Linked DNA regions of Macaca mulatta. The protein of the gene in region 1 purifies or fractionates together with the protein of each later gene. This does not show direct contact. Links are inferred from orthologs where the notes say so. Each region holds a gene or a part of one and is shown in the gene's direction. Other genes may lie near its edges. The genes, in order: IRF7 and TRIM21.

Evidence for each region.
Region 2: the proteins of IRF7 (region 1) and TRIM21 purify together in Homo sapiens (affinity purification with mass spectrometry; 3 studies listed by BioGRID, with this or other methods). This does not show direct contact. The link is inferred for Macaca mulatta from reciprocal best matches to the Homo sapiens genes IRF7 and TRIM21.

What each region holds. Positions count from the first base shown.
Region 1 is NC_133419.1:506,490-511,007, reverse strand, and holds IRF7 (interferon regulatory factor 7), read left to right. Parts: upstream 1-1,554; coding exon 1,555-1,776; intron 1,777-1,859; coding exon 1,860-2,070; intron 2,071-2,626; coding exon 2,627-2,685; intron 2,686-2,761; coding exon 2,762-2,987; intron 2,988-3,136; coding exon 3,137-3,223; intron 3,224-3,308; coding exon 3,309-3,389; intron 3,390-3,461; coding exon 3,462-3,851; intron 3,852-3,939; coding exon 3,940-4,058; intron 4,059-4,143; coding exon 4,144-4,299; 3' UTR 4,300-4,330; downstream 4,331-4,518.
Region 2 is NC_133419.1:71,426,572-71,431,168, forward strand, and holds the start of TRIM21 (E3 ubiquitin-protein ligase TRIM21), read left to right. Parts: upstream 1-1,504; 5' UTR 1,505-1,514; intron 1,515-4,597. UniProt on the Homo sapiens protein: E3 ubiquitin-protein ligase whose activity is dependent on E2 enzymes, UBE2D1, UBE2D2, UBE2E1 and UBE2E2.

The sequences.
Region 1 (4,518 bases):
ACTTCCCTTTTTTGAGACTCAGTCATGCTCTGTCCCCTGGGCTGGAGTGGAGTGGCTCCATCTCAGCTCACTGCAGCCTCGACCTCCTGGGCTCAAGTGATTCTCCCGCCTCAGCCTCCCAAGTACCTGTAACTACAGGCCTGCGCCACCACGCCCGGCTGATTTTTGTATTTTTAGTAGAGACTGGGTTTCGTCACGTTTGCCAGGCTGGTCTCGAACTCCTGACCTCAAGTGATCGGCTGAGGCGGGCGGATCACGAGGTTAGGAGATCGAGACCATCCTGGCTAACACGGTGAAACCCCGTCTCTACTAAAAATACAAAAAATTAGTCGGGCGAGGTGGCGGGCGCCTGTGGTCCCAGCTACTCGGGAGGCTGAGGCAGGAGAATGGCGGGAACCCGGGAGGCGGAGCTTGCAGTGAGCCGACATCCGGCCACTGCACTCCAGCCTGGACGGCAGAGCGAGACTCCACCTCAAAAAAAAAAAAAAAGAAAGAAAGAAAAAAAAAAAGCACAACAAGAAGGGCCTGGTTTTGCCTCGGGTCCGGTTTCGCTTACGTTTGGGGGAGTCCCCGCCTTATCCCACTGTGTCCCCCACCTCCGATGACTGCCGGCGCCCCGGCCCCAGGCGTGTAGGGACTACTTCCCAGAGAAGCGGCTGGACCCTGCAGGGCCGAGCCACACAGGCAGACAGGGCCCACCGCTGCCCCCTCGCCGCCACTCCCTACTCCGCGCTGCCCCGGACGGGGTTCCGCTGGTCGCATTCGAGAGCAGGAACTGGCCGCGCGCGCCCTTCCCGGAAACGCCCGCCTGGTCACGTGACCTCCTTGGCTGCACCTGCAGCTCTTTGGGCCCCGCCCCCGGCCCGGACACCATAAAAGCGCCGGCCCTCCGCTTCTCCGCGATAAGAAACCTCCCGCCCCGGCGACTGTGGCACCCAGGTACTCGGGACCCCGGACCCACGCGGTGCAGGTCCGGGAGTGAGAGACTCACCGGGAGGGGTAGAGCCAAGGGCTGGGGGAGCCTGATGGATGAGGGTCGGGAGGTGAGGGAGGCGGAGGCGGGGGCGGGGCTCTGCGGCGATGAGAACCGGACGGAGATGGGATCGGGGAGGGTGGAAGCGCCACTGTTTTAAGTTTCGCTTTCTCGGAAGCCTGGCCCGCCCCCGACGTGGCTTTTCCCGTCTCCGCAGGGTCCGGCCTGCACCGGCCCGGCAGGCCTGGACACTGGTTCAACACCTGTGACTTCACGTGTGCGCGCCAGCCATACCTGCAGTCACACCTGTAGCCCCCTCTGCCAAGAGATCCACACCGAGGCAGCGTCGGTGGCTACAAGCCCTCAGTCCACACCTGTGACCCCCACCACCTGTGACACCTGGCCACACCTGTGGACACCTGTGACACCTGGCCACACGACCTGTGGCCGCGGCCTGGCGTCTGCAGTGACAGGAGCCCTTACCTCCCCTGTTGTAACACCTGACCGCCACCCAACTGCCCCTGCAGAGGGAGCAATGGCCTTGGCTCCTGAGAGGTAAGAGCCCGGCCCACCTTCTCCAGATGCCCGTCCCCGAGCGCCCTGCAGCCAGCCCTGACTCTCCGCGGCCGGGCACCCGCAGGGCGGCCCCACGCGTGCTGTTCGGAGAGTGGCTCCTTGGAGAGATCAGCAGCGGCTGCTATGAGGGGCTGCAGTGGCTGGACGAGGCCCGCACCTGCTTCCGCGTGCCCTGGAAGCACTTCGCGCGCAAGGACCTGAGCGAGGCTGACGCGCGCATCTTCAAGGTGGGACCCCGGCCCCGTCCCGGGTGGGAGGACCCGCCTAGGACCCCGCGGGCCCAGCCCACGTGTTCTCTCCCCCTCTTCAGGCCTGGGCCGTGGCCCGCGGCAGGTGGCCGCCTAGCAGCAGAGGTGACCCGCCGCCCCCCGAGGCTGAGGCTGCGGAGCGCGCCGGCTGGAAAACCAACTTCCGCTGCGCACTGCGCAGCACGCGCCGCTTCGTGATGCTGCGAGATAACTCGGGGGACCCGGCCGACCCGCACAAGGTGTATGCGCTGAGCCCGGAGCTGGGCTGGCGAGGTGAGCGACGCCGGCTGCCAAGCGCGTTGGCATTCGTCCTGCCTGGGGAAAGAACATTCTCTGGGCCGGGCGTGGTGGCTCACGCCTGTAATCCCAGCACTTTGGGAGGCCGAGGTGGGCGGATCACAAGGTCAGGAGATCGAGACCATGGTGAAACCCCGTCTCTACTAAAAATAGAAAAAATTAGCCGGGCGCAGGGGCGGGCGCCTGTAGTCCCAGCTACTCGGGAGGCTGAGGCAGGAGAATGGCGTGAACCCGGGAGGCGGAGCTTGCAGTGAGCCGAGATTGCGCCACTGCACTCCAGCCTGGGCGACAGAGCAAGACTCCGTCTCAAAAAAAAAAAAAAAAAAAAAAAAAAAAAAAGAACATTCTCTGGATCAGAATTGGGTTTTTAGCAGCCGTTCTGGGAGAGGCTGCCAGCAGGCCCAGGACAGTTGGAGCCGCATCCCCACCTCCTTAGGCCGCAGCACAAGGAAGCTGGTGCGGGTTACGCCAGGCTCTTGTTGCGTCTCTCACCCTGGTCTCGGAACCTAACACCTGCCCCATTCTCCCTCAGAAGGCCCAGGCACGGACCAGACTGAGGCAGAGGCCCCCGCGGCTGTCCGGCCACCGCAGGTAGTCTTCTCTCTGCCTGCCTCTCCTCCTGCCAGGCCGCGGAGCTGCTTATGCTGACCCTGACTTTTCCTTACAGGGCAGGCCCCCAGGGCCATTCCTGGCACACAGAGATGCTGGACTCCAAGCCCCAGGCCCCTTCCCTGCCCCAGCTGGTGACAAGGGGGACCTCCTGCTCCAGGCAGTGCAGCAGAGCTGCCTGGCGGACCATCTGCTGACAGCGTCATGGGGGGCAGACCCAGTCCCAGCCCAGGCTCCTGGAGAGGGACAAGAGGGTCTTCCCCTGACTGGGGCCTGTGCTGGAGGTGTGGGCAGTGCCGTGGAGGGGTGTGTGTGTGGGGGGAAAGCATGGGAGGGGCCAGTGCACCTGGATGGACACTTAAGAAGGGGGCTGGGGATTGGGGAGCTGGAGAAGTAGGAAGGGACCACATTCCCACTGACCTCCCCTCCTCAGGTCCAGGGCTCCCTGCTGGGGAGCTGTGCACATGGGCAGTAGAAGCAACCCCTAGCCCCGGGCCCCAGCCCACGGCGCTAATGACAGGTGAGAGGGGTAGGGGTTGGGGGGCCTGGGGCACAGGGAGGGGCTGGGGATGAGGTACCAGCACAGGATTCCCTTCCCGATGCAGGCGAGGCCACGGCCCCAGAGCCCCCGCACCAGGCAGAGCCATACCTGGCACCCTCCCCAAGTGCCTGCACTGTGGTGCAAGGTGAGTGGGTCCTGGGAAGGGGACAGCCTGTCCCTGCCCACCTCTGCCGCTCACAGCTTGGTCTCCACACAGAGCCCAGCCCAGGGGCGCTGGACGTGACCATCATGTACAAGGGCCGCACAGTGCTGCAGAAGGTGGTGGGGCACCCGAGCTGCATGTTCCTGTACGGCCCCCCAGACCCAGCTGTCCGGGCCACAGACCCCCAGCAGGTAGCATTCCCCAGCCCTGCTGAGCTCCCCGACCAGAAGCAGCTGCGCTACACGGAGGAACTGCTGAGGCACGTGGCCCCTGGGCTGCAGCTGGAGCTTCGGGGGCCACAGCTGTGGGCCCGGCGCATGGGCAAGTGCAAGGTGTACTGGGAGGTGGGTGGCCCCCCGGGCTCCGCCAGCCCCTCCACCCCAGCCTGCCTGCTGCCTCGGAACTGCGACACCCCCATCTTTGACTTCAGAGTCTTCTTCCAAGGTCAGTGAGGCTCCTGCCTGGGGGGCTGTCTCCAGGGGCCCCTGGGAGCATGTGTCTGCCAGATACTCAGCAGAGCCCCCTTCTCCAGAGCTGGTGGAATTCCGGGCACGGCAGCGCCGCGGCTCCCCCTGCTATACCATCTACCTGGGCTTCGGGCAGGACCTGTCAGCCAGGAGGCCCAAGGAGAAGAGCCTGGTCCTGGTGAAGGTGAGACCAGAGCCTCAGGGCCTGGGGAGGGGGAGGGGAGGCCACACGCTGGGTCACTGACACACGCCCGATGCCCTCCTGGCAGCTGGAGCCCTGGCTGTGCCGAGTGCACCTGGAGGGCACGCAACGTGAGGGTGTGTCTTCCCTGGATAGCAGCAGCCTCAGCCTCTGTCTGTCCAGCACCAACAGCCTCTATGATGACATTGAGTGCTTGCTCATGGAGCTGGAGCAGCCCGTCTAGAGCCCAGTCTAATAAAGAGAACTCCAGCACACACACTGATGTCTTGGCTGGCGGGGAAATGGGTGCAGGCTGAACACTGGTGAGGCCCAGGGAGGGAGGGGACCTCCCTGCACACCAACTCACTTCTGTCTTCACCACACACATTACATCCAAGCCTTGTTCAAAGAACAAGGCCCTTGAGAGGTAGGTGGCCACCAAAGCCACTCCCACCAGCTGTGC
Region 2 (4,597 bases), about 71 Mb from region 1:
GACTAGGAAAAAAATTCCCAGTGCCAGCAGAAGAAAAACATTAGAGAAAAACCTAATGAAATTAAGATACAAAAAATCCAAACAAAAGGTCGATAAACCCAAGAATTCTTTGGGGGGGAAATAAACCACAACTAATAGACCCTTAACTAGATTGAGATCCAAATAAGCATAATGAAATAACAAAGATAATATTACAACTGATCCCAAAGAAATGCAGAAGATCCCCAGAGACTACTATGAATGTCTTTAAGCACACAAATTAGAAAATTCACAGTGAATCAAGAGATTGAAACCCTGAAAAGCTTCAGAAATTGAATCAGTAGTAAAGAAGTTCTTAATCAATGTTAATGTCCAAGATATGATTTACGGCCCAAAGTGTGGTCTACTTGGTGAATATTCTACTTGGTTTACTTAAAGAATGTATATTCTACTGTTTAAATATATTGTGTGCATTTCGATTGAATACTGTTGGTTAAAATATGTTCAGTGTTAACTGGCTTTTCTATTTTTTCCCCATACCCTTATCTGCTGGATGCATTACTGATGGAGAAAGGCATTAATCTCAACCTTTAATAATGGATTTACCTATTTCTTTCAGTTCAGTTTTTTGCCTCACATATCTTGATCTATTGTGGGTACATACACACTAAAAATTCGTCTTTTCATAGACTTGACATCATTATCATACATTCCCTTTTATGCATAATAATATTGCTTTCTCTGGAGTTTGCTTTGACTGTAGTTGATATAGCTATTCCAGGTTAATTCTTTTAATTTTTAATTTTTGTGTGTACATAGTAGGTACATTTTAATGAGGTAAATAAGATGTTTTGATACAGATATGCAATACATAACACTCACATCATGGAGAGTGGGGTATCCAATCCCTCAAGCATTTATCCTTTGTGTTAAACAATTCAATTACTTAGTTACTTTGAAATGTGCTGTAACATTATTGTTAACTCGTCACCCTGTTGTGCTATTAAATAATAGATTTTATTCATTCTATTTTTTTACCCATTCACCATCCCCACCTTACCCCTCCTGTAACCTTCCCAATGCCACAGATAATTAAGAACATACAATATTTGTTTTTCTGTGCCTGTGCTACTTCACTTAACATTTTCATTTCCATCTATGTTGTTGCAAATGACAGGATCTCATTCTTATACACAATGGACCACTATTCATTTATATGTGCCACATTTATTTTATTCATCTGTTGATGGACACTTAGGTTGCTTCTAAATCTTTGCTATTGTGAACAGTGCTTCAAGAAAAATGCGAATAAAAAAATTTCTTCAATATACTGATATCATTTCTTTTAGATATTGTATTAGTCCATTTTCACACTACCATAAAGAATACCTGAGACTGAGTAATTTATAAAGGAAAGAAGTTTAATCGATTTAAAGTTCTGCGTGGCTGGGGAGGTCTCAGGAAACTTATGGCAGAAGGCAAGGGGGAAGCAGGCACCTTCTTCACAAAGCAGCAGAAGAACAGCAAGCAGGGGGAATTGCCAAATGCTTTTAAATCATCAGATTTCATGAGAACTCCCTCATTATCATGAGAACAGCATGAGGGAAACTGCCCTCATGATCCAACTGCCTCCCACTAGATTCTTCCCCAACATGTGGGGATTACAAATCAAGATGAGATTTGGGTGGAGACACAGCAAAATTACATCAACTATATACCCAGCAGTGGATTGCTGGACCATATGGTAGCTCTATTTTTAGTTTTTTGAAGAACCTCCAAACTGTTCTCCAGAATGGCTGTACTAATTTACATTTCCATCAACAGTGAATGAGGGTTCTCTTTTCTTGACATCCTCGCCAGCATTTGTTAGTGCCTGTCTTTTTTATATAAGACATTTTAACTGGGATGAGATTTATAGTTTTGATTTTCATTGCTCTGATCAGTAATGTTTAATGCCTTTTCATGCCTGTTTGCCATTTGTATGTCATCTTTTGAGAAATGTCTATTCAAATATTTTGCCCTTTTTTGGTTCAGATTACTAGGTTTTATTTCATATAGAGTTTGAGCTCTTTATTCTGGCTATTAATCGGATACATCATTAGATTTTTTTTAAAAGTTTTTCATCTTTTTTGATGTATGCAGTTACATCTATAAACTTCCCTCTTGCTGCTTTCACTATATCCTGTGAATTTTGGTATGTTGTTTCTATTTGTTTCAAGAAACTTTTCAATTTAATTTTTTCGTTGACCACTGGTCATTCAGGAGTGTATTGTTTAATTTCCATGTAGTTGTATAGTTTCCAAAATTCTTATTATTAACTTATAGTTTTAGTTCACTGCTGTCAGAGAAGATGCTTGACATTTGTACTGGTCAGGGTTCTCTAGAGAGACAGAACTAGTAGGATAGGTGTCTATATGAAAGGGAGTCTATTAAGGAGTATTAACTCACATGATCACAAGGTGAAGTCCCACAATAGACTGTCTGCAAGCTGAGGATCAAGGAAACCAGTCCAAGTCCCCAAACCTTAAAAGGAGGGAAACTGACAGTACAGTCTTCAGTCTGTGGCTGAAGGTCCCTAGTAAATCACTGGTGTAAGTCTAAGAGTCCAAAAGCTGAAGAACTTGGAGTCTGATGTTTGAGGGCAGGAAGAAGCACAGGAGAAAGATAATATCTGGAAGACTCAGCAAGTCTGCTTTATTCTAGCCACACTGGCAGTTGATTAGATGGTGCCCACTCACATTGAGAGTGGTTCTGCCTTTCCAAGTCCACTGACTCAAATGTTAATCTCCTTCAGCAACACCCTCACAGACACACCCAGGAACAATACTTTGCATCCTTCAATACAATCAAGTTGACATTTGTTAACTATCACAACATTATTTCAACTTTTTGAATGTGTTAGCACCTGTTTTGTAACCTAACATACGGTCTATCCTGGAATAATCCATGTGCTGAGGAAAAGAATGTGTATTTTGTAGTAACTGCACAAAATGTTCTCTAAATGTTCTCTATTAGGTCCATTTGGTCTATAGTGCAGATCGAGTCCAGTATTTCTTTTTCTGTCTGGAAGATTTGTCCAATGCTGAAAGTGGGGTGAAGTCTCCAGCTATTATTGTATTGGGGCCTACCTTCTTTAGCTCTAATATTTGCTCTATGTATCTGAGTCCTTCAGTGTTGGGTGCATATATATTTAAAATTGTTGTAACCTCTTGCACAACTTGACCTCCTTATCATTACATAGCAACCTTTGCCTCTTAGTTTTCATCTTAATCTACTTTGTCTGATGTAACTATTCTCATTCTTTTTTGGTATCTATTGGCATGGAATATTTCTCTTCATCTCTGTATTTTCAGTCTGTCTTTATAGATGAAGTGTTTCTTCTAGGCGACAGATCACTAGGTCTTGTTTTTATCATCCATTCAGCCACTCTTTTGACTAGAGAGTTTAGTCCATTTATGTTTAATGCTACTGATAAGTAAGGACGTAACTCCATCTTGCTGTTTTCTTGTTGTACAGTCTTCTCTTCCTCCTTTCCTTCCTGTCTCACTTTAGTGAAGGTAATTTTTTTTTTTTGAGGTGGAGTCTTGCTCTGTTGTCCAGGCTGGAGTGCAGTGGCATGATCTTGGCTCACTGCAAACTCTGCTTTACAGGTTCAAGCAGTTCTCCCACCTCAGCCTCCCAAGTAGCTGGGATTACAGGTGCCTGCCACCACGCCTGGCTACTTTTGTATTTTTACTAGACATAGGGTTTCACCATGTTGGCCAGGCTGGTCTCGAATTCCTGACCTCAGGTGATCCACCCACCTTGGCCTCTCACAGTGCTAGGATTACAGCCATGAGCTACCATGCCTGGCCAGGAATTTTTTTTCCTCTGGTAATATGACTAATTTATTGTTTTTTGTGTATCTATTGTAGGATTTTGGTTTGAAAGTACCATGAGGCTTCAAATACTATCTTTACAACCCATTTTTTATGCCAATTATATCTTAATCCTGTTCACATAAATAAGAAAAAACTAAAACTAAAACTTTGTTCCTGTGTTAGTCTGTTCTCACACTGCTAATAAAGACATACCTAAGACTGGGTAACTTATAAGGAAAAAAAAAAGGTTTAATGGACTCACAGTTCCATATGGTTGTAGAAGTCTCACAATCATGATGGAAGGCAAAGAAGGAGCAAAGGCACATTGTACATGGCAGCAGGCAAGAGAGAATGTGCAGGAGAACTGCCCTTTATAAAACCATCAAATCTCATGAGACATTCACTATCACAAGAACAGCATGGGAAAAACCTACCCACCCCCATGATTTAATTACCTCCCACAACATATGGGGATTATGGGAGCTACAATTGAAGATGAGATTTGGGTGGAGACACAGCTAGACCATATAATCTCCTGACTTTTTAATGTTTTATTTCTATCTTATTGTACTATTTCTTAAAGATGTTATTTTTGATCATCTTTTAGTCCTTCTACTTAGCATAAGAGTAGTCTCCACATCAGTTAGTATAATTATATTCTTTGTTTTTCTATGTACTTACTATTACCAGTGAGCAGATAATTTCTTCTTGCTCATTAACATCTTTCCTTTCTGATTGAAGTATTATTCTAGCATTTC